Linked DNA regions of Drosophila melanogaster. The protein of the gene in region 1 interacts with the protein of each later gene in a pairwise test. Each region holds a gene or a part of one and is shown on either strand. Other genes may lie near its edges.

Region 1 (7,972 bases):
CTCCCATTTAATCTATCGCTCCCCATCATGTTTTTGGCATCATTAATCTGGTCATTAAGTCCCACGGAAATCGTAGACCCATAGATACAACAGATCCACTCCCTATATATTATACATAGATACATCCATGCCGGGCCTAATCGTTTGATGGACAGCGATGGACGGCGGACTCTTGTAAATGTAAAATCGTAAAAATCCAGTTGAGGCAGGCGGGCAAAAAGCGCCTAAAAACACTCATAAAACGGCTGATTGAAATGGCTTCATTCCGTAGACAACAATTTGTTGTCTCATCGCTGTTGTTGTTGTTTTGATAGATTTTTAATGTTTTCGGCCTAATAAGCAACAATTGGTTGCACTACCCAGCCCCACCTCTTCCCCATCCCGGCCCCCATCCCAATCAATGCACAGTTACAATTTCCGCTTTGGGGCAGCAAACAAACTTTCCCCCAGCCCCAAACCAATATGCATCTTATATTTTTCATTGCGGGCCGCGTTTATCAAAATTAATTGGAAATTTTCGTCGTTTTTTAACGACTTCTGGGTAAAAAGTCATTTGAGCGCAGAGAGGTGGGGTGGGGACTTCAAAAGCAAAAGGCCTGTTGCACATGCTACCTACCAATGGGACTGAAGATCTCTCATTGGGGGCTCATTTGGTTCTCCGGACCTGCCAGTTTTATGGCCTATAACACAATATAATTTCCTGTCAGTCAGCCGACGAATGCCAAAAACTACAATTCATAATTGCTTTGGAAATATGTTTATAAACGCGGCCCACTCGTCGACCATCATTGGGGGACAACTTCATTTGAATTTTACGACAAGCGTACAAATACTATAAAATATAAATATTTATGGCCAGCACTTACAACAAAGTTAATTTATTGAATAGTTTCACAATGTACACGACCCCATGCATATGATATTTATTTCAATTTCATTCGTTTACGACTTCCAAAAAACTAAAAAAATAAATTTGGATTCTTTTCGTCGAGCCGATCGTGAAAATATATATTTTTTAATGAGATCCAGCGCAGCTTCGATTGTGACGCAAGTTGAAAAATATATCTGCTTATCTAATTTATGTGCTGCCCATTATTTACTGAAAATATTTGGAAAATTTAGAGCGTCTTGTTGTTGGCATGTGAAAAAAAAAATAATCATCAATTGCTGAAAACCATTCTTAGCAATGAGATATTTGCTTTGTTCCTAGAAGTTAAACAAAAGCAGTGGGGATAATTAATAGGTGCTTAAATTGTTAATCTTTAATGATTATTGGTTCGATTTATTTATTCGATTTATTTAAAAGATTGATCCTTTTCGCTTCGAAAATATTTAAATTACAATTGAATTAAATAAATATACTTCATCAAATTGCCCCATTAATGTGTGCCCTGGAACTGCATCATATTTTGCGGAAATACGTTCGAGACAAGGCAATTATGTTTATCTCCTGTAGCCAAAATGACCCCCGTAACCTAATCAACTCCCTAATGCAAACACACACGCCACATAGGACCCGATTAAACTCGCCTAACCCTTCAAAAACTCATCAGCATTGCCCATGTGTGTGAAGATAGGGATTTGCCTGTGGAAAGCGGGGGAAAACTGGGCAAAAAGGCGGGGGCACTGGGGAGTGACGCAGAGCGAATCGAATACTGCCTCCTTGTCAATTACAGCGACAGTTGCCATGGCCGTCACTCCGTCATCGTCATCGTCATCGTCATCGTAGGGACAAATGTCAGGGAACCCTTTATATGGTCGGTCGGGTGGGTCAGTCACATATGAACAGGAACCGCGCCCACCGGATTGCTGGGCCGCCAGACATGTTCCACTCGTTTTTGGGTAATTACATTTGCAGCCCGTCTGTCCTGTCCGCCGACTTTTGTCAAATACAAAGCGGCAAAATGTTGTGCGAAATTCGGCAGAACAAAGTGCTGGGGTTGGGGTTCGGATGCGAAACCGGAGTAAACATAAATCAATATCATCGGCTACAGGGCGGACAGATTCCCGACATCAATCAGGGGCCCGCATCCGAAATGTAGGGAGCGCAGGAGACGCGCGGCGCGTCTCCTCCTGAAATTAAGACGATGGATCAATGTATGACGAAGGCACCACAAAGGAGGGTCCGACAAAGAGAGAGACAAGACCCAGACCGAAACCATTCTGTTAGAAGGAGGTTCCCTCCGCCGCCTTTGCGGAGCCCCTTCTCGATCCCCTCACCCTCCGTTCGATCGCGTGTTCTTCTTCAATTACAGCGCCATTATACCGAAAGCCGAAAACGTTTTACGGTGCGAAAGCCTGCGGACCCCGAGGGCAAAGTTAACCCCTTGAGAGCGGTACATATTTAGAAGTTCTACATAAGAATATTGGTCCTCCTAAACGTTCAAATATAATTAGGAACATATAATGCCTAATGGAACATCAAGATATAAGGAGGTTTTGTTAGTTTAATCTCTTCTTGAAATTTCATAATATCTTATAATCGACTAGGTACACAGTTGATGTTTCAGTTACTAGCTCTCTAGAAATTTAACACGATATTAGTTATTACTATATTATTTAACGTATTTAAGTAAATGTGAAGTATGCAAAAATATTATATTTTACCTCCATAAATACACTAATATTTTTCAGGTTGCCACATTGGGCCTCAGTGGGTTAAAGGCAAGCCGATCACCGCGGGTTCCTTCCACTTGCTTTCGATCGCCGGAGAAAGAAAGAGCTTTGTGTTTCTTCATATTTTTTTTTTTGCCTCTGCGGCGTAATTCAGGATTCTCCTTGCTCTGTTATTATCGGCGGGTTTGAGCTTGGGTTTGGGGTTACTTTTTGGTTGGTGGTTGGTTGGTTGGTAATTGCCCTGATGTTCAAGCTCAGCAGGCGGCTTCTTCTGCGTGGCGAAAATTGGGGCAGGGGCAGCGGTTGAGATCAAATTTAAAAACAATCAAATTTTTTTCTGCTGCGGCTATGCATAGAGGCAAATTAAAACCGGGTATTATCCAAACACGTGTATAATCAAAAACCGATGGTGGAGGCAGTAACTACCAGTCAAAATTCAGCTTGAAAGGTGTAAGCCAAAAGAAAGCTCTAAATTTGAGGCGTGGCATTCGCTGCAATCAAATATGTTGCTCTAATAATTGCTTCTTTGTATGCAATATTTAAGAACGTTCTGTTATAAATGGAAAAATCACTGAAAATATATCACTCGAATTTTTAGTATAGTTTAGCTTAGTAGCTATTAAAAGGAAAATACTCCATAAATGTGAATGTATAAATTTGAAACAAAACATATGGTATTTGCAGTGGTTAAAAAAAAATGTAAATAAAAATAAATAAATTTTATTAATTTTTTACTGGTAAAATTTGAATCGTTTTTTAGAAGATAAAGAAGAAAGAAAAATATTTGTTTATATCATTTCATATATGTTGCTTGTCATGAACCAGAGTTCCATCATACCCTTTTCGAATAGAAAAAGAGATAACACGCCTTTACAAATTTCGAGTTCGAAATTGAGAGAACGTGTTCGAAAGAGAAAGAGCGGCGCTCGAAGATGAGTTTCGAACAACGGGCAATGTTTCGATTCTCGAACGACTCGCATTCAGATTGTTTTCGTCCGTTGATTCGAAAAGACGTGTGAACTGAGACTCGGAGATACAGCGGAAAGGATCTAGAAGATACGCGTAGTTTGGCCCACCAAAACAACTACTGACCGAACGGATTGTTGTGGCCCAGTGAAGTTATCGTTGAAATTGGAAATTGATCAAATGAATAAATGTATCCGCGAGATACGCCCAGTGAAGTTTTAATTTTCTAGCCGGAGAGAAAAATCAAGTGTGAAAAGCAAAAAGGAAAAACGAAAAACGAAAAACCGCCCCCACAACAATAACAAAAACAACCGGTACGCCACCCCCCGAAAAATTGACGTCGCCGTCGCCCTCGTCGCAATCGTTTGGAAATAAATCGTGTTTTTGCATTTGTTGTTTTTTGTTGTTTATACGCCAAGTTATTTACGTCGTCGCAAAGCAAAAAGAAAAAATTGAATAAATAACAACAAAACGGCTGGCGAAAAACAAATCGAGTCGGCGAAAATGTTTTACAATTAAAATTACGCGCGCAGCGGGCACAAAGGTACCAATATACACGAGTGCGAGCGCGAGTACGAGTATCTGCAAGATACACACACGTAGATCAAATAAAGCAGCGCAATATGCGCAAATTAAACTAAAATGCAGCACATCAGAGCTGTAAAAACTTTTACGACAGCGACTACGACTGGTAACTTGCCACCCGCACAGTCGAAAATAATACCAGATACAAATTAAGGTCGCCCAGCGGCAGCGCATAAACACGGTGGAACGGGAAGTGGCTGTGGAAGTGGAAGCGGAGGATTCTCTCGCCTCCTACCTGGAGTATATTAGTCTCAGTCCTTAGATCCTTACACAAAAGGATAGCCAGCCAGGGAGCGCAGAACGCACACACAAGGGCCGTAAAACATTTTGGGCTGCTGCTATACTGCAGGTCTCCTCCTCTCAGGACTCGTAAATTTCCAGCCCAACCACCACCACCGCCGCCCGAAAAACGGAAAATAGAAACACCGAAAAATCCAAGACACCGCCAAGTAACTGCATCCTCAACCCGCTTATATATAGAACTATATAGGTACATATATCCGGGCAGCGATGGCGGGTAACATTGTCAAATGGTGGAAGCATAAAATTCTCGGCGGCTACAAACAATTCTCAGGTAAGCGAAAGCCAAGCGTTCTCAACTTGTTTAGTGAATTTCCAGATAGTTGGCAGCAGATATGGAAAAGATGGATGTTAATGCTCTCGTGGGGAGAGACAGCTGGGCGATAGCATTCAGGGAAACAATTTGTTGGCCACAGTCAAGTAAATTAAATTGAAATATTGAGTGAGTCAGGGATTCGCAGGAAGATATCTTATAAATATGAAGAAAGTCGCTTAGGAATATATAATTATTGATTTATAATTGCATTTACTATTGAAATAATGATCCATTCCTATATCCACCTACCTGACACTAAAACCACTAACCCATGCAGAATGTTTTCCTTATTCATTTTTCCGTGGCCTCTTATCGAAGGCCATTCCCATTAACATACGACTATCTGGGCCGAAGATCTAAAATATTACCTTCTCCCAAACAATTGTTCACTCACCCGCACACAGATATGTATGTATTTGTGTGTATGTGTGTATTCGAATTCATTGAGTCAAGGGCTTCTCCCACATCCTTTTCCAATAATTACGGCGAACAACTAAAAGTTGAAAATAAAATGTAGGCAATCGCCCGGCTGCATTTTTATCTGGAAGATACACAGCCGTTCGTTCGCTTGTGGTCTTTGGAAATGGAAATGAAAATGGGTAGGAGAATGCCGGAGCAGCGACACACAAAAATAGAACGGAAAATCGGGCATGGTGCTGAAGAAGAAAAACACAACGGCAGGGCAGATCAAAAGGAAAGCGACCCATGGAAAATAAATAGAATTTTTTTTGGAAGCAGATCGAAGAGGCGAAGGGATCGGGATAGGGATAGGGATCGCGATCGCGATCAATAGAACGTTTCGCTTTGGCTCCTGCTGCTGCTTAGAGATCGGCTCCTTAGTCATGGGTAGCATATCATGGACGTAAATAAACAAGGTCCGTGTTTCCAAAGTGGGATCCGATCCGAATTGGAAATGGACGACCGAATCGGACGACCTTTCTGCCAAACGAGCAACGTTGATGTCCGAATCGCTGAAGTAACATCAATCAATCAATGTTCCCTGGGTTCCTTTTTTCTGTCCACAAATTCATTGGAAATATTCTGGGGCCCCCATCCACCTCTTTACTTTTCTGGAGTCTTTTTTTTCATTGGTTTGTTTTGTTTCGCTTTGAAGCCCCAGAGAGAGATTTCCTCCTCATCGGCATCGGCTGGCAATTGGTCTGCGCCAATTAAATGCCAGGCCAACACTTTGAACCCTTTGCAGGACGACAAGCCCCGTACACTAATTGCTGGCAGATGCAGGGGGAATTCAAAGGAAACCTCCAAAGGCACACCGAAGCATGCAACTTCAAAGAAAGCAGCCTCGAAAACACTACACAACAACAAACGGGAAGAGAGTCGTACAAAAAATGAAAATCAAGCGAATTGAAATGCCGACGCCGTTTAAAAACAACGTACGAACATTTCTTACCTGTTGCAGGTAAAACCGAAGGCAAGTCGATGCCGCGATGGAGGTGGAGTTGGCCCGTTGCTTATGGATGCACTGGGAAAAAATTCCATTGTTTTGTGACACTTTAATCCTAAGACATTACATTAATAATGGGCAAAATTATAAAAGAATAGTGAAATTTAGTAAAATATTATATTAACATAAATCCAAAATGTTAAAAGTGATTACGCAGATAGTAAAATATCACATGAATAATTAGATTTGCCACGATATATTTGTTGTTGAATGTTAAAATTATAAAAGGCCAAATAATTATTTCCTGTGTAGAAAGCAGCAGCTGCTGCGAGGCCAAGATACCGATGCCGACTCATACACAAAAACCTTTTAAAACCCTCACGTTGATAAAACAACAACAATAACATCGGACATCAGCGGCAGCAAGTCGTCGAGCCGCCGCCGCAAGCAAAAATAATAATAACTGAGCCACTCCATCCATCTGCAGCCCCAACTCCGACCAAAACTGAGAAACTCCCCAACTCCATCTCGAAGATACATCCACATCCACATCCACATCCAACCAGTTCCGCGGCCAGGCCAACTATGCCAAACATCTCAGCAGCGGCTACACAAAAGCGGTTTAGAGACCAACCGACGATCGACAGACGGACAGATGGACGGACCGACTTTCAGACAAACGGACGCACAGACGGACGGGCCGAGGAACGGCGATCCAGCGATCCAGCGAGCGTACTCTGCTTGTATCTTTGAGATACACACCGCGCCGATGCTGCGACTGCCAAGCTGCGCTTTGCGCTCTGTTCAAAAGATGCGCTTTTTGCTTTGAGGCGCGGCACCAGAGGCCGTCGTGCACAGTGGTTAAAAATCGTGTGTTTGAATGGGGATTATCGTGGGCACTGACGGGCGGGGATGATATGAAACCCAAACCTGAGAGGCTATTGATGTTCGAAAGATTTTAAGCAGATTAAATAGGATTTAATAGACACGTTGTATAGATGCATTTAAGCCATACTTACAGGTGGGATCCGCATATTTTGTAGATCATATGTGGCATCCTTAATTATTATACTTATTGTAACTAAAAAGGTTTTCATTTAAGTATACTTATATTTATGTCTTTTGATCATGCATATAACATTTATTTGTGCTTACCATACTTAATTGTATATTTGGTAATGCACTTGTGACCACTGTTTCTTCTGCGGGTTTTACAACGCTCGCCTTGGCTTTTCTTCGATACCGTGCTGTTGCTGTTATTATTATGGCTGTGGTTGTTGTGAATTACGGTAGAAGGCAACAGGCGAATCGCGTCGGCATTGCCTTCATGACAGGCTGAAAGCAACGTGGCTCGAACCGCACCGGGCTCAAATCGCAGCCCCGAGGTCCGGGAAGCGGGCACCAGCTCTAGCTGCCACTACCAACTTTGACTTGGCACTTTTTGGCTGATCCGCAGAACTCGAGAATCGGAGGGGAATGGAACTGGCTATGGCTATGGGTTGGGGCATGGTTATGGGTATGGGTATGGGTATGGGGATGGCCAGGGAGCAATAGCCTGGTATAAGCAATTTTCGTAATATTAGCCAGGAAGTTGCCGCTCTGCCTTTCGATATGCCAGCGACCCTATATGGCCGGTTCGGTTGCGTTTGGATCGGTCGGGTCGGATCGTCCAGATCCGATGGGTATTTCGCCTTGTTTTGGGTTTTGGTCCACCGCAATGGACTGGTTTTTCGAAGGTGGCTGCCAAGCCAAGTCAAACCCAACCGAACCGAACCGAACCGAAC
Region 2 (7,875 bases), on another chromosome or scaffold:
CCATTGTAAACATCGATGACATTATCAATCAGGACGATGTGCTCATTTCCAGATCACACACTGCTATGGCCGCTTCCGCAGCTGGCGGTAATTCAATCAAAAAGGTCGCTTTGGGCAGGCCCCGTACCAAGAATATCGGAACCGGCAATTCGGTTGCCGGCGATAAGAAATCCATCACTGTTAACAGCACGCAGAAATCCCTGTCCGCTGCTGTTAACCACAACAATACGACGGCGGGGAATCCAGCCAAGCGCATCAAGATCTTGGCCAGCAACAGTAGTGTCAATACCAAAATGGGACCAGTGCATATCCAGAGTCAACTGCCGAAGCCCCGGCCCAGGATACTCAACGCGGAAATGGGCAAGAAGACGCAGTCGATGAAACCGCTGATGAGCATGGGCAAGGAGCTCTGTCCCACGGACGTCGACACCGAAGAGGACGATCCGGATCCAGATCTCGATTTTGATATCGATAATATACCGGTATCTATTGTTACCCGTAAGAATGCCAATGTCAATGCCAATGCCAAGTCCAAGCAGGTGACGACAACGACGTCGGTGGCGGCGTCGGCGGCGATGACGTCCGCTCCAGCAGCGGTAGCGGTTAACAAGTTGAACAACAATCGGCGCAATGTGCTGTCCACGACAGCGTCGTCGGTGAATGCGCTGATTGCGGACCGGAGGCTGAGCAATCTGCTGGCCGATAACGATGTCCAGCCGGTGTTCAAGAAGCCGAGCCTGGTTCCGCAGCGTCGCAGCAAGGAGAACCAGCAGGAGCAGCAGCGCGACAAGGAGCTGACAACGCTGCGCGAAATATTGCCCACCGGCGGTGGCATCGACGATGCCAACAGTCCCAAATATTTTCCGCCCGAGACCACAACGTTTCACGAGGAGGATGGTCGTGTGGTAAAGAAGATCACCTGCTATGAGACGTGGCATGTGGTTAGCACGGCCAAGGATATGTTGTCGAAGATGGCGCGCCAGCAGCGCACCTGCCTGGAGCTGGCGCTGGTCAAGCTGGCCAATGTGGCGTCACGGATAAAGGTGCCATCGGGCAAATGGACCAGCAAGGTGACGCTGTACAAGGTCTCGCCGTCGATGATGCCCCGCCAGACAATGACCATCTTTACGGGCGATCTCAAGGCGTACAACATACCCGAGGAGGACCGTCACAAGTATCAGCCGTCGTGCGTGCTCTTCCGGCGCGTTGTCGTTGACAAGAACACGTGCCGCGTGCCCTACGATCGGGCCGTCATCTTCAAGAACAAATGCTTCTATGCGAACATCGATGGCAAGCATGTGAATCTGTTGGGTGCCCCCGAGACGGTTGCCACCATCAAGGATGTGGAGATCCTGCTGGATATCGTCGATCGCCTCTCGATCAGCAGCAACATTGTCGAGCTGGTCAACGCTAAGTGAGCGTGGAGGCCTGGTCCATGGTGGCCACAGGAAGAGCACGTATCACATTGTAAAAAATAATTCACACACAGCACTCCCCTCCCCATCCCCATCCCCCTCCCCCATACACATACACAAACAAACAAAGCGGACACTCGATAATTCGTTTTATGCTGTAGTTGTAATAAAACAGATACAAGTTTTTTTTTGTAAAACCATTAACTTAGTTGTAATAGCTAGTGTAGCGTAAATTTATATATATTTATATGTATATATATATATGTATGTATATAAATATATATTAATATATATACACGTATATATAATTATATATTTATATATATGAATATATATATATATATATTTATATAAATTTTTATATATATATATCTCGTATATTATAAACAGCGGACGGACATACATAAATACAAACGGCAGATGTATCTATGTAATATAAACTAAACTAAAGAAAACAATTAATTGTAAAATGCTCGCCCAACTCTCGAAGGGATTGCGAAGTTCCGGGCGGTCGAGGTATATCAATAATGATTTTTATTTTAAATGCGTTGGAATACATAGCCCCCCTCCGCCTTCCCCGCGAGTCCCGCCCCCTTCGAAATCCTTTTTTTTTAAATTGCTATTATCGTAGTCGATTCAATAATATAAAACCGGGCGTACATGTGCCTACGCCCGCGTGGAGGACTAGCCAGTAAGTTAGTCGAGTGTATATCTAAGTGATCCCAATTCAAAGCATACAAATAAAAGAGAAAACTGATTTAAATAACGAGCGCCATTGCGTGATAAATGGCGGGCGGGGTTATCTGGAAATCGGGCAGCTATAAATAAACTGCGGCCAACGCTAGAGATTTTCGTGTGAAAAGCGAAAGAAGATAAGGAACGCAGGCTTCAAGTGGATGGATGGATGAGTTTCCTTGGTCAAGTTTCCATGACAAGGATAAAGACTCTACTTTTAAACAGGACACTCTTCAACTATGCTACATCATTATATGGTAAATTAATACAATTAAGAGTTCAATATAGCTGTAGTTTTAGATTCTACATGTTTTATGTAATAGAAATTGCTATTTTGTTAAATTATAATAAATTTATTGTTTTGAATAAGTATTCAAATTAAACGATATTTATCGATAACTTTGGTATTTAATTTTAAAAGTGTTTGAACTACATTCAAATTGTAAAGCAAATATCGTTAGAGAGAGCATTTCCAATAGAAACTAAATACATTGCAGTTTTTAGTAGTTTTCCATACGCTTTTTCAGAATATTCGTTTGAGAAAATGTTAAGAATGTTCGAATTCGAAAGGGTCTGGCATCGCCGGCAGTGTGACCAACTGCCCGGCGCTTTGGCATTCCGTGCGTGACGAGCGGCTAACACACTGTTTTTTTTTAGTCTCAAAATTCTAACAAATTTATTGATAAACTAGCAATATGCTCGTTTCGCCCTGCCCCCGCTGCGTGCACCGACATTAAAGCGCACCAAATCGTGCTAATGGAGCAATATCAACGCCGTGCAAATCGACGAATTAACAGCCGCCGCTTCCATTGAATCGAAATACCCAGCCCAAAAAAAAGAGAAAGAAAAAGTAAAAGAAACGCGTGCGAGAGCGAGAGGGCTAGAGCGACCAGGGGGAGAAAAGCAAAATCGAGTGAATTTTGTTTGTTGTATCGGCTTTTCCCTGGCTTAATCCCGTTTTCCCTGTGATTTTTCCCCACCAACTTCCCACGCCACCTCCCCACCGCATCCATCGCATTTCGTTTTGATCGCGTTTTATCGCGTCGAGGAGTTTTCCCGTGGATTTCCGCAGTCGGCGCAGCTAAAATGGACGCGGACAGGGGCGGCGGGCAGGAGACGAAGGTGATATACCACATCGACGATGAGACGACGCCGTATCTGGTGAAGATCCCCATTCCATCCGCCCAGGTGACGCTGCGCGATTTCAAGCTGGTGCTGAACAAGCAGAACAACAACTACAAGTACTTCTTCAAGTCAATGGACGCCGATTTCGGTGTGGTCAAAGAGGAAATAGCCGACGACTCCACCATACTGCCCTGCTTCAATGGGCGAGTGGTGTCCTGGCTGGTCTCCGCCGATGGTACCAATCAGTCAGATAACTGCTCCGAGCTGCCAACCAGTGAGTGTGAATTGGGCATGGGTCTGACCAACAGGAAGCTACAGCAGCAACAGCAGCAGCATCAGCAGCAGCAACAACAACAGCAGCAGCAGCACCAGCAACAGCAACAACAACAGCAGCAGCAGGTGCAGCCTGTCCAGCTGGCGCAGCAGCAACAGCAGCAGGTGCTCCATCACCAGAAGATGATGGGCAATCCGCTGCTGCAGCCGCCACCGCTCACATATCAATCGGCATCCGTGCTCTCCAGCGATCTGGACTCGACCAGTCTCTTTGGCACCGAATCCGAATTGACGCTGGACCGCGACATGACCGACTATAGCAGCGTTCAGCGATTGCAGGTGCGCAAGAAGCCGCAGAGGCGCAAAAAACGGGCGCCCAGCATGTCGCGCACCTCCTCGTACAGCTCCATAACCGACTCGACCATGTCCCTAAATATCATTACCGTCTCCATCAACATGGAGGCGGTCAACTTTCTGGGCATATCCATTGTCGGGCAATCGAATCGCGGCGGCGACGGCGGCATCTACGTGGGCAGCATCATGAAAGGCGGCGCAGTGGCACTCGATGGACGCATCGAACCGGGCGACATGATCCTCCAAGTGAACGATGTCAACTTCGAGAACATGACCAACGACGAGGCGGTACGTGTGCTGAGAGAAGTCGTTCAGAAGCCGGGACCCATCAAGCTGGTGGTGGCCAAGTGCTGGGACCCAAATCCCAAGGGCTACTTCACCATTCCGCGCACGGAGCCGGTGCGACCCATCGATCCCGGTGCTTGGGTGGCGCACACTCAGGCCCTCACATCGCACGACAGTATTATTGCCGACATTGCGGAGCCGATTAAGGAGCGTCTGGACCAGAATAACCTCGAGGAGATCGTTAAGGCGATGACGAAGCCGGACAGCGGCCTGGAGATCAGGGATCGCATGTGGCTAAAGATAACGATTCCCAATGCATTTATCGGCGCCGATGCGGTCAATTGGGTGCTGGAGAATGTGGAGGATGTTCAGGATAGGCGGGAGGCGCGAAGGATCGTCTCGGCGATGCTGCGCAGCAATTACATCAAGCATACGGTCAATAAGTTGACCTTCTCGGAGCAGTGCTACTACGTGGTGAACGAGGAGCGCAATCCCAATCTGTTGGGCCGAGGACATCTGCATCCGCACCAGCTGCCGCACGGGCATGGCGGCCATGCGCTTAGCCATGCGGACACCGAGAGCATCACCAGCGACATCGGGCCGCTACCGAACCCGCCCATTTATATGCCATATTCGGCCACGTACAATCCAAGTCACGGCTATCAGCCGATCCAGTACGGCATCGCCGAGCGACACATCTCGTCGGGATCGAGTAGCAGCGATGTGCTGACCAGCAAGGATATCTCGGCGTCGCAGAGCGACATCACCTCGGTGATCCATCAGGCCAACCAGCTGACCATCGCCGCTCATGGCTCTAACAAATCATCCGGCTCCTCCAATCGGGGCGGCGGCGGAGGCGGTGGCGGTGGCGGCAACAATACCAACGATCAGGACGTATCCGTATTTAATTACGTATTGTAGAAACCTTTCTTTTTGCAATCAAATTGTGTTTTTAATTAATTAAATTAAATATGTACGATTATTCTTTTTTATATACGAGTATACAAAGCAAGCAAACAGCAAACCACAATATAATAATTATAATTATAATAATAATAATAATAATAATTATAATAATAATAATAATACTTATGTATATGTATGGTATGTGTAAGTCATAGAAAAGAACGCTAAACACCCAGCCGCAACGAGTCAAGGATCAGCGAGGGCTCGTGAGGCAGCAGGAGGATCAGCACAGGGATATCCGTGTCCGGCAGCAATCGGTTGTGGACCCGATCAGATCAGATCAACTGAGATATATGATATATGATATATATATATATATATATATATATATATATATGGATGATGCGGAGCGGAGCGGAGGAGCAGGAACGGCAGCATGACGGGCGAGAATGATTTTGAATAAAGTTCTAAGAATTTAGTAATCACAAAGTAAATAAATACAAATAAAATGAATAATCGATGGCTTTTCCATATGCATGAGATTGGTTTCTTTAACGCATTTTAGCTGTTTTCAAGTGCAAATCAAATTGCCAAGAAGACTTTTAAAATATTCCTAAAACATATTAGCGTTTGTTCGTAATTTGAGGAATATACATTAAAAAGGAAGTCTAATTTTTGTTAGTTCTTATTTCTTTGTACAGATTAACAATATTTAAACACATACTTTCCATCCTAAAAAGTAAAAGTCTCAACAAGATAATATTGTTCTTCCCCCTAAACCAAACAATGCGCCATCGAGAACAATCCTCGAAGTTGTGTGCACTCGGAGCGGAAACATTCCGGGCATGGGTGTGCACTTAATAAAGAAGAGAATAATGAAACCTATAAATAGAAAATCCATTTCGAGCAGCAAATGTGTTCAAATCAACCGCCCAGCTCGGACACTTTGCAACACTAAGCCCGAAAATCGATAGCAACGAACGTTCGATAACTGTTCGATAAGCACGCCAAAGCAAACTATCGCTTTCATTCCAGAAAGGTCGCGAAACCAATAGGTTCTATTGTGGAAAGAAACGCAAATTTCCAGTTCATTTGGATTGTTTAAATCCGAGAAAACGATGGCAACGGATGTGGAGCCGGCGGCGAATACGGCGGACAAGTTCTCCGCCAACGCGGAGGAGCTAGAGGGCTACTATCTGATGCTGGAGGCGGGAAATATTCCGGAACTGCAATGGCAATTTCCGGGACGCAGGGCTCCATCGCCGGAGGCGGGATCTGGCGGCAATAGCAAGGAACTCGAACAGGCCACCGACGCCATTGAGCAGGAGTAAGAACAAGTGCAGCACCATCCGAAGGTTAACATAACTTATGATTGATTTTCGTGTCCCCGCAGACCGCAGAAGGCCAACGACTTTGATTTCAGCGACGATGTGGCCCCCACCCAGATGCGCGTCCGCAGCCAGACGTCCACGCCCAAGTCGGCCAAAAAGAAGACGGCCAACTTCGCCGGCGTCATGGAGACGCTGAAGAAGAAGAATGCCGAGAGCTCATAGCACCCGCCGAAATTCTGATGCTGATCCGGTCCAGGCAATCGGCTGCAGATCGTACTCTATCGCCATGCGGACTAGTCTATAAGCATCAGTCGTTTTACAACCATCGACAGGATGGGCTGTGGAGCTCTGCTGCAAATCGCATTAATGTAAGGATTTAGAGAGAGTTTGAACTTCAATTTACTTAAGATTTAAATTACCATACTTATAGTTAGCATTTAGAGAGTTTGAAGTTTGAACATCAAAACATAAGCTTATTATGACTTATTAGTCAGCATCTAGAGAGGAAGTTTAAACATCAAAACATAGGCATATTATGACTTAATTACCATATTCATGTGACTAGCTTGTAGCTTAAATTGCAGCAGTCTTTGGAATTCTAAAAAACTTTGTGAACCAACAAGTTGCAACTCAGAGAAGTTTGAACTTCAATTACCATATATGCATAACTAGCTGTTAAGGATGTTAACTCCCATTGCATTGGTCAGTTCTTCATTTTAGACTAAGAACTTGTAATTGAGAAGATAGCATAGAACTAATCAACTTATGTTTAAGCAGAGGGATGTGTATGTGATCCTTAATTAGCACGTGGGAAATTTACGTTCTAAATGTTAATTGTCTTTATTTGATATATTATGACAATATTCTTGATAGTATTGTCCGAAACCGACGTTTGAAGACTAGAATATAGAATATAGGATAGAACGGATGTAAATTTAAATCCAATGCGAGTAAAGCAGATAACAAGATAGGCAACTGTAGATCAGTCAACTTCTGTACATAAAAGAACTGAATTTCACTAATAGCTGTTAAAACTAGAATATAGAATGTAGGATAGAACGGATGTACATTTAAATCCAAGATGAGTAAGATAACTATTTAGTAAGGCAACTGTAGATCAGTCAACTTCCGTACATACAACTAATACGAAATGAATCAGCACAGTTGCCCTACTAAACAATATCAACTTCTCATGAGCTAAAAATAGACTACTAAGAATTATGATAAGCCAAGGTTGTTCCGGAAAACGTAACTCCATCCCTTTCGTTTTCGTAGAAAAACCTTCTATATATAATGACATCATTATATGATGTTATGTGTAGATTAGAATTCCCATATGCTGCTAACCTAATGGTTCGCAGTTAATAAAAGTTAGCATTTAAACACGTAAGAAAATTGATTTATTTCGGAAATATCCTTTCTCGTTAACAGCAATAATAAGTTATTGTGCC
Region 3 (8,758 bases), on another chromosome or scaffold:
ACACGGAGATGGTGTCGGCCGGTCGGGCCAAGTCACTCAGGCCGGCGGCAACGAGACCCTGGCAAAGGAGATAAAGGATTCGATTGCTTATTTAATTTTTGTTTTAACTAAAGGACGCGATATGCTTAGGCATCTTCAGTTTCTATGTTTTAGTGCCGCTATGGGAGATCTCAACTGGCTGTTCTTTGTTTTATTTATTTGTGGCTTGATATATGTATGTACATAAGTATGAGGCATCTATATGCCTACTATCGAAACAAACAAACTAACTAAATAAATCAAAAGTTTTTGATTTTTTTGGGAAACTTTTTTTCATAGGGTTCCACAACAGAAGGCAATCCGCTCACGAACACAACCGTATGCGGTTGTTATCAAGCGCAGGTTGCTCGAAATAATCAAATAATTTCATTTAATGGCACCTGCGCTCAGATTTGTCTACCGTCGTTTCGGATTTATGGTGAACTATAGTATGTGTGCGATAATGAAAATCAGCGAAGGTCGTGCGTTGTCCGAGTTATGTAATCCCATCCGTCTGGCTTTCTGTCTACTTACCCATTTGAAGACGGGTGCCCAAAAGAATATCGTCTTGGGACCTGGAATCAAACCGAACCTAAAGATGTGCTCTTTATGTAGCATAGTGGTCTATGTGAGGCTTACCAGCTGGATGCATCCACAGTGGCCGCAGCTTGGCGGGCACAAATTTGTCGGCGGCGCCAATCATCCCGTTGTACAGCTTGGAGTGGATGCCCTTTCCGGCGGAAGGGACGGCCGATGGTGGCGGCGGGGGAACGGGCGGCGGTGGCTGAACGGCTGTGGACGACATTTTGTTGTTGTTGCTATTTGTGCGAAAAAATTCCACGGGTTGCAGTGATGATAATTTATGCGTCCAAACTCGTTGGCTGGCAATCACAAAATAAAATCTACTATGAAACGCTAAACAACAAAAGCCAAAAAGCTTCGTGAGAGAGCGAAAAAGACAAAGAGAGCAAAAGAGAGAGCTAGCACCCACACAGCCGCAAACTCGAACAGCTGAGCGCGCTATTTTCTAACGTGTTTAATTTGACACGTTAAGGAAATACCTATACAATTGTACCTACAACTCGTACTTGACTTTCTAAAAAGTGCAAAAATCATGCATTCATCTTTAGGAACAGGTTTTTGCACGATCACAGGTTCATTAGCTATCGCACAACATCCTTGACCTTGAGGAGAGTGTGCCAATTTCCGCAATTTCCGCAGCAAAATGTTGACGGAAGCAAATGTGTCTGAATCGAATGCATCGCTACCAATACAAGTGCAGCATCTCTATAAATAGCAGGCAAATGCAAGTTTTTTAGGAGTCACGCGACAACAGTGATGCGCCATTTTTCACTAATACAAAAAAATTAATATCTAAATCTTATATTTATTAAATCTCACAGGAAATGACGTATTAAAACACATACAATTACACAATTATAAAAATAATTTTAGCACCGCAACAGCTGGGGTACTACAGCTAGACAATCTGCCATCTCAAATTCTAGTGTTGGTAAACGTTGTCCCGCCTGCATATATAAGTCAAAGTATACTATTTTCGAAAAATTAGGTAAATTTCAGTAAAAGATTTGTACTGCACGAGCTGGAACCACTTTCATAAAGTTAACTTTCATCACAGAATTCGGAATGTCCTATAAATAATTATAGAAGCCCATGTAGATGATGGGTAAGTTACACGTAAATATTCTGAGTAGTTCCAAAAACAACCGCCAGGCGAAACTTTCTTTATATGAAAGAACGAATATGTAAAAGTAAAATGAAGAGCTATTTATTCCCACACTCCTCAAGATTTAAAAGTAAAACATACATCACATCACTCAACTAAATCTAACTGATTTAAAGTATCCTATACTGTATACAGAACACTAGCGAAACTGATGCTTTGCAGATAAGTCATTAATACAATTTGATCCCTCAATTGAGGGAAACGCCCAGTCCCTTCTGTTGCAATCCGAATTCGATTTTCGATCTGATTGTTTACAAATATTTACTCGATCTGTTGCCATGTGAAAGCCGATTTTTCAGCTGCCCTGCCAGGTAGACGGGCAATTGCGCATTAATGGGAAACGTGCTCAAGTGACGCACTAGCTGAAATAAACGCTAATTATTAACAGCTCGGCCGACGGACAACTCGAATGCCTGGTCTTGAAACGCGACACACTTGTTCTTATAAAATTCCGCTTAACTTATCTGCCTGGAAACAAAATGATGAGTTGCCTTTTGCTTTTATCGTTTTCATGTTAGAAATGTATACATATGTAATTTCAATTACAAATCAGAAGCGTAAATATTTAAATAATTTCATATAAATCAAATAGGTCTACATTCTTTTTGAAATCTGTTTCTCATTCCTGTGTTTATATTTTGGATGATCTATAGCAGAGTCGCTTCAATCGGAGAAGTCCTTGCATTGCACATTCACACACCCAAGAGTGTGTGTATGTCTGAATTTTGTAATTTTGTTAACACAGAATTGAGAGAAGCTAAAACGGCTGCAGCGGATTATCCGTTGTGTATCCTCCAGAGTTCCTATTCTCGTCCCTAAAACGAACCCGGCTGTCTAATTGCTGCTGTGTGGTGGACAAAATATAATGCTATTATTATGTGAATTGGTTGACGGCTCGTCGGGCTTGTTCATACACAAGCGATTGTGTACGAATAAACGCCAAATTATGTGGTGTTGCACGTGTTTGGTTTTCACTTCACTGCTACTGCGCGGCTGCTTTCTGATTAAATCGTTAAAAGTTAAATGAGTTCATCGTTAGCCTATCGGCGTGTGGATCGAAATTGTATTGTGCGCCGTCGGAGGTCGGTGCCATGTTAGTCTGTTCGCCCTGTAAAGGATGCATCAAAAACGTTTTAGAATAATAACAAACGGTTGACTTAAACTGTTAGCTCACCTCATCAGTGAAGTATTGATCGATGATCTCATAAGCTAGTTTGTAGATTTCAACGTTTTCGTGGCTCTGCAGACGCTCGATCTTGGCCAGGCCCTCGCATTCCTCAATGCAGTTGGCCACCGCCTCAACATGAGAATCGGCCACTTTTAACATATTGTTCAGACCATCCAAAACAACCTTTAAAAAAAAGGGGAATGTGTTACTCAAAACAAATATGTGAAGAGACGCAAATTATACTTACATTTATAACTTGCGTATCCTGGCATGAAAGGAGGTCACAGAATGGCGGAATGACGCCCTCCTTGATCAAGGTGAAGACCTGTTCGCGGTTGCCGCTAATGGTCAGATTGCTGATGGCCCAGGCAGCCTCCTTCTGTGTCTGGAACTCGCCCTTGCTTAGGTTCTCGATAATTTTGGGCAGGAGACCCACGTTAATAACGGCCTGCACCTGCGATTGATTTCCAGCGGTTATATTGGAAAGGAACCAAACCGCCTCCTTTCGGATCTTCTCCTTGGGATGCGAGAGCAGGCCCGGGAAGTAGGAGAGCGCGTCGTAGTTGAGCACAACCTGTGTCTGCTCATCCGATCCAGTCACAATATTGCCAACAGCCCGCAGTGCGGCTGTCTGTACCTTGACCTCGCTGTTGCCCAGCAGTGGTATCAGCTTGGGTACAACTCCACTTTCAATGACCATCTGGATCTGATCGTTGCCACCGTCAGTCAAATAGCTGATGGCCCAGACCGTGTCCACCAGGATGTTCGTGTCGGTGTGATGAATGAGCACATTGAGTGCGGGCAGGATCTCATGAATGGTGGCTGTCGGGGGAGCCGGATCCTTGTTGCGGCACAAATTCACAATAACCCATGTTACATTGCGCAAGAATGTGATGGGGATGTCTGGCTTGATGAACGACAAAAGTGGCTGCACGACTCCGTGCTTAATGACAAAATCGCGGAGCAAAGGACCATCGCCTATGATGTTGCCCAGGGCCCACACGGCTTGTTCGCAAACATTGGGAGCGGGCGAGTTGAGAAGTTGAAGGAAGAGCGGCACGGCACCGGCGGCAACAACCTATACAGGATTATATTGCATTAAAACAAAGAAAGTGCTGAGAGGGAAAGCTGAACGTACCTCGTTGGTCTGAGCCGATGTGCCAGAGGCAATGTTGGTCAGGGCCCAGGCGGCCTCGAACTGGAGCATTGTGTGATTGTGTTGTTTGAGGCACTCCACCAGGATGGGCAGAATGTCGCTTTGGATCAGATCGTTGATGGGTGGATTCTTGTCCGACGACAGCAGCTTGCGGGCAGCCTGAACAGCGGCCAGTTGCTGTTCCGGCTTGGTGGCGTCTGCGGCTGCCTTTGCCAGCTTCTTCAGGTCAATGGACGAGGACAACTGCTCCTCCTCATCTGTGTTCGAGTCCAAATTGGGCACATTGCGACGCTTGAGAATGGTCTCTTCGCGCTTGTTCTTCCTCAGCTCAACGGTGACTTCATTTCTCCGACGTCGCATTTCCTGCAAATTAATTAATATTATAATGTTTCCCATTTCAGCGGTAACTTCTAACTACTCACATCCTGGTCTTTCCCTTTGTTTTTGAAGTTTTGTAAACGATTTTGCTCCATAGACGTCATTTTGTCTGATTTCCTTGTATAAGGGTTTGCTTTTTCGATTGGCTGTTAAAAAGTGAGTTTTTAAAAACTATTGAATGCGATGTTGGCGACGTACGCCTCCTAGCGTATTCGATGAACAATTAATAATTTGTTTCAATTGCACACCAGCCAATGGGAAAAATTATTCGCACCCACACCAGCGCACATCCACGAAAAAATAACGTAGAATCGACCAACACAGTTGCAGCATAACACGATGGCGCAGGCATTGAAAAAAGGAAATGGCGAAAAAATACATGAAAATTAGCAATGCAACGGGCGAAAAAAGTGTTTCTCTTGGTCCTCGGTAGAGGATACTTACGTTTTTAGCAAGTAAATCGGGTTTCTCCCACGACACATACACTTTCTACGTCTTTTAAAAGTGATAAAATTCTTTCCTTTTTATTAAAATTGCAATCAGTGACAACGACGTGAGTGAAGTTGGCTGCGGTTGGCAATTCGGGACTGCCCACTTATAGGCAGGGTCGATTGAAGCACCAATCGTCAGATCTGAATTTATGTCGACTTATTTTTTAAATTTAGAAATTTTAAGTTTACTCAGTTGGAGTTGTAAGCTTATGAACCAGTTGAACATTATTTAGGAAATATTTCATTTGTCTTAAAAAGCATTATAGCAATTCTTATTATTTAGGTTTTTTCAAGCAGGCGCTTGTCGTGACGGTACTATTACACAACTCTAGCAAAGTATCGATATCTTTGAGCCCTGCGAACTGTAGATACCATTACGAGTGTCATCGCTATTATTGAAACTTCTGTCCAAGCAAGACGTGCAGAAAAACGCTTAATCGCGAACAGCGACAAATTCGCTGATCTGTTGCGGTAATCTATTAGCATGCATAGACACTAGGACGATCCGCGCCCAGCGAGAGAGCAATGACGGAGAACACAGAGAAAGGGGCGAGCGTAGAAACGCCTCAAGTGGCGGGGTCTCAGACAAATCCTCCGGTTCAGGAGCCACTTGCACTGACCAAGATTCCGCCAATTAAGGTAAAGAGCGAACGACCGGACGCAGAGGTGGAGGCCAAACTCCGGGCCATGAATGCCAAGATCAAGGCGGAGATGGTGACTTTGATGCGGAGGAGCAACAGCAATGAACTGGGCAACAATGACGAGTCGGGGGAGAGCGAGAGCTCCGCGTCGGCGGACGACAAGAAGAACATTAAGCCTGTAAAGTCCTCGAACGAGATCCTTGCCGAGCTGTTCGGCGTATTCAATGCCGCTCCACCAGAGGAACTTCTAGACGACAATCTGTTCAAGAAAAAGAAAAAGGTGAAAAAGGAGAAGAAGGATAAGAAGGCCAAGAAAAAGAAGACGACCAAGTCAGATGGCGAATGCAGCGACTCGGAGGCGGAAGGCAAGCACAAGCATAAACGTAAGAAGCACAAACATAAAGACATCAGAGTCAAAGACAAGGAGAAGGATCGGGACCGGGACAAATCTAAGGAGAAAGATCGGGACCGCGTTACGGACAAATCAAAGGAGAAGGATCGGGACAGGGACAGGGATAGGGACAAATCCAAAGATAAGTTTACGGCAGCACAAGCTCCCTCCGAGAAGGAGAAAGAAAAGTCTGAGAGCCGGAAGCGCAGCGCTGTGGAGCCTTCCAGTCATTCCGAAAAGCGCGAACGACATGAAAGGGAGAAGCATCGCGACTGGGAACGAGAAAGGGAACGGGAAAAGGAGCATGAAAGGGAACGCGTCCGCTCCAACAATAGCTTTTACAACGGGCAACGTGAAGCGGATCGCTTGAAAGGATCTGAATCAGCGAGCACAAAGTCACGGCAGGAACAAGATCTCTCCGATATCTCGCTCTCCGATGAGGAGTCGTACCTCCGGGAGAAGGCTTCCAACGGCCGTAGACGGGCGCACAACAGCTTTTATGATGAAAAGGAGGAATTGTCGGTTTCACCCAAGCGTAACGTGCGCGAATCCAACACCAGGAGAAACCGAAAGTCAAGATCTCGCTCGCGTGACCTCGGCATAGACAAAAAGCGCTTGCTCGAGATTGCGCGACGAAATGCCATTAACATGTTCAAACAGGGAACTATGCCCGGTGTGGCTAACATGACTGCAGAGGTCAAGGACAAGGTTCTCGTCAAGATGCGCTACGGAGGTCGCACTATTCAAGATCTTACCGACTTCTGCAAAAAAATCTCCAACGGCGACGGCCTGTCAGATCTGAGTTCAGAAGAGGAGTCCGATGTGGACAAGAATGGTAATGCGAAGGTCTTCCATCATCCCTTTCAGCTGAAGGAGCGCGAGCCAATTGTGATGCATATACGAAACTCAACGGCGCTGGTTCCAGCACCACCTCGACTGGACGAGCAAACAAAGGCCATAACCATGCAGTTCCCGGTGTCGTCGGGTCAGACCCATCGCAACAATGAGGTGTGGGTGCCGGTGGATCCTAAGGACTCGCTAGTGCCGTTGCCCTCCCTACCGCCAGCAAAACAGGCCACCAATATGTTTAAGGAAACGCCGAAGAACGTGTTCGCGAAGTCGATACCCTTGCAGGAGCAGCAGGAACCCGCCTTTAAGCCACTGGGAGGAGCAGTCGTAGTCCCGCCCTTAGCCGCCACTCAATTACCCACTGTTCCTCAATCCGTCCCGCCAACCGTTCCCAAAGAGTTTGCCCCTCCGGCTGTTCCCTTCGTTCCCGAGGTGCCCATCCCGTCAACGTCACCCGTAACACCGATGCAAAGTGCTTCCATTTTTCCCGATGTTACGCCGCCTTCCATGGACGTGTCCAGCATAATCACCCAGCGTCTTAGTGCCATTCGACGCCTGCAGGTGAGCTCTAGAACCATTTGTCATTTTAACGGTTGGCTTCATAATTTTGTTTATCTTAGGAGAATCCGGCCGACTCTGAGGCCCTAAAAATGATGTACACTGCGCAACGCAACATGTCATCGTGGGCCAACTCAAAGCATCTGCCCGGTCAGTTCACGGGAAGCACGGGTGCCCAAGTGATGAAGGCACATGAGCTGAACAGCGGTCCGCAGCTGTGGGTGCGCAAAGACCAAATGACCTCCACCAAACCGGTGACTGGGGGCATGGGCATGGCGCTCCTGCAAAAGATGGGCTGGAAACCGGGCGAGGGACTGGGCAGATGTAAAACTGGATCATTGCAACCACTTTTGCTGGACGTCAAATTGGACAAGCGTGGCCTGGTGTCGCGCGATGACTTAAGGCCACCGCAAATGCGTGCGCCGGCTGCCCAGCGAAGAAATAAAAACATGGCGGGACCAATTGGAGCTGGCCCCTGTCCAGCAGTTCAGGGTGCGGGACCTGGACCGTTGGCGTCCACGCCGCTGGTCACCCAGGATAAGCATCCCGTGTGTGTGCTCAACGAACTGACCTCGAAGAACAAGTGGATGCCGCCGCAGTATAAGCTACGTCAGGATATCGGGCCCGCTCACAACCGTTCCTTTCTCTTTTCGGTCGAGATTAACGGACAGACCTTTACGCCGGATCGAGGAAGCAACAACAAGAAGGAGGCGAAACTCAATGCGGCCGCCTTATGTCTGCGATCTTTAGGCATTCTTCCGCCCAGCTAGTGATCGAACGTTGAATAGGCTAATTTCTAGATAGTGAATATAATAGAATCCCCACACTGTACATAAAATTAGCCCTATATTTAAGTTGTAAAATCTTGTTCGTCTCCTTTGGAGCGATGACAAATATAGTGCTAACATCAAAAATGATTGTTAGTTTGACTAAAATTACTGATATTTGATGTACCCCTAACGTTATCATTTCTATTATTTATACACTACTTACTTTAATGCTGTCCTTAATATCAGTTATAAATTACCTGTTTACTTCTAGTTCCTTTTAGAAATGCAAGTTTCGTATTTGAAGTGTATTTCCTTCCCTTATTAAATTGAATATTTTAATTTAATTTTTGACACACACATTTTTCCAAGTGTAATGCCCGTTATTTGGGAGAGGAGCTTTAACGCGCGAGCTTTGCTCACTCGCCAAACGGGGCTTTTGCGCAAGTACACAAACAAAGTCAGCTGTTCCATCCGAGTGGGTTAAACAAGAGTGGGCCGTGTGGACAGAGACTGGCAGTGGTTGTGGTGGTGGGAGTGGAAGTGGAAGTGGGAGCATCGGCGCTGCAAGTTCCAAAAGATTGCTCCTCGACG
Region 4 (8,117 bases), on another chromosome or scaffold:
ATTTTCTGACCAATCCCTTCAAGCGCAAGGCAACCCAAGCGCCGCTTCAGACCCAAGTGACGTCGTCCTTCAACGATCCCATCGAGCTCTACTGCCTATCGCTGGTGGACACACTGCGCAGCATGCGGAGATCGGAACGGGAGCGGGTCAAGTTCGAGTTCGCCAACATTCTGAAGGACGCCAAGTACAAGGACGAAAGCTAAGGCGTCATAGTCATCATTCTATACGTACAATTCTCGATTAGTATCCTTAGTGGTAGACAACGCACTCGAACACTTCCCACACTCCCCCTTCATTTATGTATTTACATACTTGCAAACAACTTGTAACTCTACGTTTCGAGTCCTAGGCTAAGGTTCTAGGTTAATTTGAGGCGATATGTGTCCATAGTCCATATCTCTTTAGTTGTATCAACATTGAGTCGAATAAAATTATGCACAAAACAAGGTTAGCAGCAAACGAAGTTTCATTGTTCCAAAGAAAAAGTACACATTTGATTTCATTTGCAGCTCAACGCGACATTAAACAATTTATTTTGAAATAATGATAAGAGTAGTGTGTAAAATGTATAAACTGAAGCGTGCGATCTTAAATCGTATACGATGCGATCAGCTTTCACTGTACTCTCGATCGGTTAGTGCAAACTAAAAATCTTCTACCTGCTGAGCTGGGGCCCGCAAAATCCCGCGATACAAAATAAATCTAAATCTTTACTGATTCTTCGAGTCTTTCTACAACAAGAACTGGTTAGTCTATATATCATATATATAGTGCATAAGGCATATACAGATCATTCATATGATTATAGTGGTTATTAATGTGATTATCGTATGAATCAACTAAATGGTTAGACAGAGTAGGTGATGAAAATTAACGTGTCAAGATTTGCATTTAACACTAAAAACGATTTGTTCGCCAATTTAACGGCTGAGCTGCTGCTACTTAATATAAGTTACAACTCGTGACGTGGCGTATTTAAAACCGAACTTTGCGTCTGCATCTGGCGCCTGCTGGCCTCCTGGTCATTGTTGCCATCGTCCGTGTCCAAAATGTCGGACAGATCATACATGGGCTGATAGGAAATCAGTTCAGAGCCACTGGGTGCTGCTTGAATCATCAAATAGTTTAGTCTCAAGCGAAGGAATTAATACTGAATTCCGAACAAACCTTTCTTTTCACTGCTTATGCTGTCATTGGGAAACGATAGGCCATAGTTGTCCATTAGATCAGAGTCGTTAAACAGCTATAAAGTATACAAATAAATCACATTGTTAGTTAGTTCTGCAGGGGAATTTTCAGACATGAAGGCCAGATGTGGACGTTTTGTGCTGACCTTTAAAAGCAGCTCGTCCTCCGGCAACTGAAAATTGGGCGTCCTGCTAAGCGCCTAATCATGTAAATAGAACATAAGTTAAATAATCATCGAGTCGGACAAACGGACAGCTAATACAAGAAATTCTACTCAATGTTGATACTTACACCCATGAGCATGTTCTGATCAATGGCCACCCCATCGCCACGCAGCAGATCCTTCAGTGTTTCCAACTCATCTTGCATGCTTTCCAAGTGCCCGTGGAGTTCGTCACTGCAACAGTAAGAATTAGCCGCTTGATTATGGCTTATCCGACTTGAATTCGTATTCTTCTGGTCTACTAACACTGAGGCCATCCTGAGGAGTTGACTGTTGTTGGTATCGCGGTTGTTTCCGTTCTCAGCGCCACTGTATTTGGCCACAGCCATGCCCTCTTCCTCAGATGCTTGCGCCTTGGCCGCTGCCTTCGATGTCGAGGCCTGATTGGCATCCAGCAGCGTACTGTTGGTGGGCACATCGAAGTTGCTGGCAAACTTGCCGCTGCTCACTGTCGATTGCCCAAATTTTTGTTGCTGGTCCAGTTTGGCTGCCTCTTCCACGCCGTCGGGAAGCAGAGCGTCCTAAAGAGTTAAGAGAAAAGAGTTAGCAACTACCATAAGATGTTTAAAATGTATCTTACTTCAAAAATATCCGTCGGCATATCCTCACTGATGAAGTTAACACTGTACAGATCGTTCGCGGGAGTCATTAGATCCATCAGTCCGGAACTGTTCTCCGGCTCAGACTTTATAATCATTGGCTGGACCATCACATCAGGTTGCGTACTATGCTGGATGCTTGTCCGTTGCGCCTTGGGCGACGAACTATCTACGAGAATATCTCCAGCATCAAGTATAACATCTCCTGCCTGTCGTCGTAGCTTGTTGTTCTCCTTAAGCTGCTGACGCTTCTGCTGCTCCTGCTCCCGCACCATGGGCGTGGTAAGCACATTCTGCTCCTCGTAATAAGGCGGACTGTTTGGCACCTCCTGGACATGAGAATCGGGCGCCTCGGTGACTGTGTAGACATCATGTTGGGCCGGCGATTGACTCACACTTTGGGCCATGGGAGAAGCGGCTCCGCCTACTAGAATATTACCGCCAGCGGTTCCATTTCCCTGGAGCAGCAAGTCCTCCACACTCTGATTCGAATAATCGACGTTGTGCGAGCTAATGCTCATGTTAGATCGCGGACGCTCAACGGCAGGCGGAGAGACGCTCTCTTGGTCATAATGTGAGGCTGCGGTGTAGCCAGCCGGTGATGGATTCATCACCTCATCAAGAAGCTCCTCCCTAAGCTCGTGGATAACCGGTCCGCCGCCACTCTCGCTCTCGGTCTCACTGGTGGTCCGTGCACGATCAATTTCCGGCGTATTGTTGATCATCAGCTGCACGTGGCGTTTCACGCCAGACATGTTGCGCGACGGTTGCACAATGGTAATGAGGAACTGGATCAGTTTGTTGACTATTTGTTGCTGCTTAGCGTGCTTTTGGCGCAGGCTGGCTATCTCGCGCCACAGCACTTCGTTCTCCTGTTTCATGGCGGAGAAGCGCGAATCCAGATTGTCCTGACGACCCCGCATGACTTTCACATCGGTGAGAATCTTCGACATGGCCTCCGGCTTCAGGACACCTTTGTCGTCACCATTTTTGTTGTTCGATATTTTCCTTTTGATTTGGTCAAGTAGAAAAGGCGAGTTGCGCTTAAAAAATGGGTGCGAAAATTCAATCTCGTCGCGATCAAAACGTAGTCCGCCATTGTCAATAGAGGTGATCTTGTGGAATCCATCTGCAAAGCACAAATTTTTTTTAGTTTTCAGTTGATGTTTCAACGATGTTTCATTTACTTACACATATTCAATTGCCTTATGAAGCTGGCCATGTTGTTGTGCTTGTAGTTTAGTGGCAATAGTTCCTTGGCGAATTGCGCTTGATTTTGTATAACGAAACTTTGGCCATCCTGCAAAAATAAAACGAAAAACGGAAGCGATATGAGAGTTGTGCTGATATGTAGTTGCCACAAACCTATTAGCGGTTGGCCGCAAACCAAAACCGATAAGCAACGAAAATAATTAGCTAATTGTAATTATATCTATAGATGCAAAACTATAGTTACGAGCCAAAGCTGGAACTAGTGTTCTTATATAATGTATAAAATGATCGTTTTAAAAAAATTCGTATTTTATAAAATTTGTCAACTTTTTCATTTAAAATTCAAATTTTTGTGAGATTTTTATGCGTGAAACACGCTAAAAATATTGGATTTGAAAATTAGATTATGTTACGCTCATACTCACATATTAATGAGTATATGTTGTCGACAAAAAATGGTAGGCTATGCTTATCAATAAACTCTTCGTTAAGAGTGTGTGGTAACCTAAGTGAGAACCAATTACTCTTATCTTAAATGAAAAGCCAACTGAATGACCAAGGGAAATTATTCGATTGTCAGTTGGAGATGGAAAATTTTCCAGAGTTCACGCACGTACGCATGCAAATGGCAACATCGACAACAACAACAAGATGAGTGTGTGGGGAAGGCAACTTGCATACGTGCGATGCGGCATGGGCAACAACAAAACAGAGAGCGAAACGCTACAAAGAGAGCTTGAGACACCTGCATGGCCAAGTCATTGTTGTTGCCATGCTGATTAGCGGTATGTGGTGGGAGGGGAGTCCCTGGAAAGGTAAATAAACAATATGGCGGCGTAGGCTTACCTTGGTCCAGCAAATCAAGCGATTGGTATCGGCATCGTCCACCAGGCGCCACAATTTGGCCAAAAAGGCCGGCACCCCGCTTCCGATGGCCGCGGCGTCTCCGTAAGAGTGCATTCTCCTGGAAGGCAGCTGCTCCTCCTCGTCTTCTTCCTCTTCCTCCGATTCGTGCTTGAACTGCACGGCTTTAGCGGATGAACGCGACCTGGACATAAAGTGACCAGCAGCCTGGAAAGGAGTACTACTCAATGAATTCACTGCACACCAACACCAACACAAACGCTTTTTTTCCAGTTTACAGTTCACTTTTCCACGCCGCTGTATGTGTGTGTGTTTAAGTGTGTGTATGGGTGCGGGAATCAGTGTGCGTGTCCAGGTACACCATACATATGTAAAATGTACATATGGGTACAATTTTGATGTGAAAGTTGCAGCTCTGATCGAATCGAATGTTTTCGGTTGCAGCCAAGTGCGTCATTCGAGCCACCAACTTGCACAAATGGAGCTCCAGTTCTTCTTCTCCTGCTCAACCTACTTACCTTAACAATTTTGCAGCTCACAAACCTTTCGCGAAGTGAAAAACTCGCGTTTTACTTGTTTAGTTTAGTTATTACACTTCACTTTCTTGGCGTACCGCTTTTGTTTTACACAGTTCTTCGGTTTTTAAGTGCTTTTTCGCGTTTTATTCACAAGTGAAAATTTAATGAAACCTCCGTCAAGTAAAATTGCTTCTGTTCGCAGCGTGACCAATTTGGTAAAAACCTATCGAACTAAAGTTCGCTGCTATATATACCATTGCTAGCTGTCTGCTTGGTCCTCTGGTTTTTATCTAGTATTTTCTGGCGCGCAACTTCGTATTCATATAATTGACCCCAATTACTAGATGATCATTATACTAAAAACTTATCAAATTCTGTTATTTGTTTTTAAAGCTAGTATTGATATGTGTACCCATAACATTAATTGATAGGCAACTGTCGATTTTAATACGGCAGACCAAAGGATAGGGATTTTAGTATTTGGTATTTTCTATTTGATATCTTTAAGATAATTATGAGTTAAAATTAAAATTAGTTGGTTTGATTTTAGATAAGTTGTACATAAAAGCATACAAAGGGCATACTTACTAAAAAAATTAACATTCATTTTGAAATTTCTATAGGATTTACTTTGACAATCAAAAAGTTTTACCTTAATATAAATGTTAGTTTTATTTTTTTTAATTTGATTTAATAATTGTCACTCTACATTTAAAATGTAAATTATGTATGATATTAACGTTTTTGAATCTTTAGGAAATATTTAAATGTATTTTCTAGTATTTTCCAGGACGAGACCGCTGAGTCTTTGCCGGCACAGTGGGGATAATTAAGTAAATTTATGGTATATTTTATACGTTTCGATATATTTAAAAATATAAAAATGTAAAATTGTGGTGACAAATTTCCAATATTTCTTTATTTATTTTAATCAAGTTAATTTTATTACCATAACATACATAAGTTGTGGTAGATTTATATATGAAAATGTAACGAAAAGAACAATTGTTGGATGCGGTCACACTGGTGGGCATATGTTGAAAAATGGCTGACACAAATTAATTTTCAAGTGATTTGTTTTGTGCATTTTCGCTGGTGTTAAAGATGAACTTGGGACAACGACGTTCAAAGCCGATAGCCGAATCAATAAGAGCAAAATGCTAATTTAATGCACGATTCGAAACACACTTAAAGGTGGGTAAATCGGCAACCGAAACTAGAAGTGCCTGTGGTGCGTGTGGAAAAGTACGAATGAGGAAGACACAGAGAATACAAAAGGGCCCGCTCTCCAGTCCGTATGTGTAGCAAAAGTGTGCATGTATGTGTCGGCGGGCAACAACAAATTCGACGAAAAAGGCGCCAGATTAATGAGCTCGTGTTAATCAGCGGGAAACAATCGCAAAATCAATGAAAAAACGGGCCGCGAAAAGCCGGCAAATCGAACTGAAGATCCATATTTTTCACAAAAGACTGCGCACTGGAAAAATCAACGCATCTAGCACGCACACACAGCCGCAATGATGAACAACCATTTTCACTTGCAACACGATCATCCACCGCAGAACGTGGCACATCCGTTCATGCAACAGCCGAGTACCGCTGTCCCATCAGCTCCTCCGGCCACCTACGGCTACTTAGCACAGCCAGCTGGCCAGCAGCCGCAGTGGATGACGACCACCTACCAGATCCTGCCGCCCAGCGTAGGACCTGCCACGGTGGCCAAGCGATACTATGCCACCACTGGGCCGCAGACCACGCATCCCACACATCCCAGCACCATCCAGATCACGAACAGTTTCGCTCAGCAATCAACGCCACCGAAGCAACAGGCGGCAACAAGCTGCAGCCCATTCAAGGCCAACAACATACGAATCATCTCGACGGCGCCAAGTGTATACAGTCTGAATAAGCCGCCACAGGAAGCGCACTCCACATATGCTCCCGTTCAGTCGTACTACTTGCCCAGTGGCGGTGGCCAAACTGCGGGACAAATCAATCTACTGGCGGCCAGCGGAACTGGCAAGCAACTGCAGCCGCCGCCGCTGGTGCCTGTGACCAATTCCACCTCACCGCCCTCCACCGTCGTGTTAGACCGCATAAACATTTGCATCAATAACCACTATACGGAGACGCCCACTTCGCTAAGTTCATCGCTTACCACGGCCCAACAACCTTCGCCCATCATACCGGCCATCCAGCACAAGGCCATCCTGCCCCTCATCGACAGCAGCACGGCGGATAGCAGCAGCTGCAGCAGCAGTTCTGTATCCAGCAGCAGTTATAGTGGTACCGCGACCACCTCAGCAGCAGTTGTGATTGTGGATGAGCCGGATTCTACGACCACAACGCCACAGACACCGCCAACTACGCCGGAGGCCATGAGTTCACCCGGTAAAAGTTCGCCCTCGCCTCCGCTACTAGCCACGCAATCGCTGCTCAAAGGCGTCAACTCAATGAAGCCAAGCTTCAAGACCGTCGAAGCAGCACCGCCAACGCCGCCAACACCTCCATCACCACCACCACCGCCGCCGGCACCACCAGTTGCCGCTCCCTCGCCAGCGGTCACGTATGCGCTTCAGGAGGACGTCTTCATCAAATGCAACGATGGCAGATTTTACCTGGGCACCATTATTGACCAGACAAGCGATCAATATCTTATCCGCTTTGATGACCAGTCGGAGCAATGGTGTGAACCGGATAAGCTGCGCAAGCTAGGTGGCGGTAGCTCGATTACCGCTGGCGGAGGCGGTGCCTCTACCACGGAATCCACGAATACCTCCCCCAGTGGACCCATGTGCGTGGCCTGCAAGCGATCGGATATCGAAGATGTGGTCGAAATTTGCGAGCGCTGCGGACGTGGCTACCATCGTGGTTGCACCGTTGAAATTGTTACTGGCAGTGGAATTTGGAGTTGCAAACGCTGCGCTAAACCCATGAAAATGCAACAGCCTGTCAGCCATAAGATCACAAAACCAGCGGGAATTTGTCGCCAGTTGCCCTACCATGTGAGTATTCTACGAACCCAAGCCAGCGGATTAGATTCTTAATCCGGTTTTACCCACAGGCGGATAAGCTCAGCTGGGATGAGAAGCATCGGGTCAACGAAGAGCAGATCTACTGCTACTGCGGCAAACCGGGAAAATTCGATCACAATATGCTGCAGTGCTGCAAATGTCGGAACTGGTTCCACACCCAATGCATGCAGAACTTCAAGAAGAAGCTGCTGCGCGGCGATATGTACGTATTCAATTGCTTTACTGTGATCTAAACTGAAATGAATCTCATTGTCTAGGTTCTTTGTTTTCTGCTGCACGGTCTGCAACAATGGCATAGAATTCGTTCGTCGTATGCAAATCGAATGGGTGGATGTGCTCCACATTGCACTATACAATCTGCGAAAGCATCAGCACCAGAAGTACCATCACCTGCTAAATGACATTTGGCCCTTCATACTCGAGCAGCGCCACCAGCTGCCTATCTGCGAGAAGTGGCGCACACTGCCCGAAACGGCAC

Evidence for each region.
Region 2: the proteins of nkd (region 1) and dsh interact in binary tests that used the Drosophila melanogaster proteins (3 or more experiments, as listed by UniProt).
Region 3: the proteins of nkd (region 1) and Kap-alpha3 interact in a two-hybrid assay, tested with the Drosophila melanogaster proteins (one study listed by BioGRID).
Region 4: the proteins of nkd (region 1) and Hsf interact in a two-hybrid assay, tested with the Drosophila melanogaster proteins (one study listed by BioGRID).

The regions. Positions count from the first base shown.
Region 1 is NT_037436.4:19,041,073-19,049,044, reverse strand, and holds the start of nkd (naked cuticle), read left to right. Parts: upstream 1-3,595; 5' UTR 3,596-4,677; coding exon 4,678-4,741; intron 4,742-7,972. UniProt on the Drosophila melanogaster protein: Cell autonomous antagonist of the canonical Wnt signaling pathway. May activate a second Wnt signaling pathway that controls planar cell polarity. Required for neuroblast specification.
Region 2 is NC_004354.4:11,353,118-11,360,992, forward strand, and holds dsh (dishevelled), read left to right. Parts: upstream 1-2,763; 5' UTR 2,764-3,236; coding exon 3,237-5,108; 3' UTR 5,109-5,607; downstream 5,608-7,875. Other genes in the region: CG1737 (uncharacterized protein), read left to right, coding at 1-1,418; Pa1 (PTIP associated 1), read left to right, coding at 6,212-6,420, 6,487-6,646.
Region 3 is NT_033777.3:9,572,697-9,581,454, forward strand, and holds Kap-alpha3 (karyopherin alpha3), read right to left. Parts: upstream 5,038-8,758; 5' UTR 4,952-5,037; exon of another isoform or gene 4,912-4,951; intron 4,778-4,911; exon of another isoform or gene 4,614-4,777; 5' UTR 4,572-4,613; coding exon 4,512-4,571; intron 4,453-4,511; coding exon 4,072-4,452; intron 4,012-4,071; coding exon 3,181-4,011; intron 3,117-3,180; coding exon 2,940-3,116; intron 2,874-2,939; coding exon 2,778-2,873; 3' UTR 1,788-2,777; downstream 1-1,787. Other genes in the region: CG9399 (uncharacterized protein), read right to left, coding at 1-58, 553-593, 658-823; Son RNA binding protein, read left to right, coding at 5,484-7,400, 7,460-8,167.
Region 4 is NT_033778.4:18,129,803-18,137,919, forward strand, and holds Hsf (heat shock factor), read right to left. Parts: upstream 4,833-8,117; 5' UTR 4,605-4,832; intron 4,307-4,604; exon of another isoform or gene 4,294-4,306; 5' UTR 4,279-4,293; coding exon 4,069-4,278; intron 3,311-4,068; coding exon 3,202-3,310; intron 3,140-3,201; coding exon 1,992-3,139; intron 1,933-1,991; coding exon 1,480-1,932; intron 1,388-1,479; coding exon 1,334-1,387; intron 1,244-1,333; coding exon 1,168-1,243; intron 1,105-1,167; coding exon 953-1,104; 3' UTR 501-952; downstream 1-500. Other genes in the region: Dlip3 (dorsal interacting protein 3), read left to right, coding at 1-203; Pcl (polycomblike), read left to right, coding at 6,122-7,609, 7,669-7,841, 7,897-8,117. UniProt on the Drosophila melanogaster protein: DNA-binding protein that specifically binds heat shock promoter elements (HSE) and activates transcription. In higher eukaryotes, HSF is unable to bind to the HSE unless the cells are heat shocked.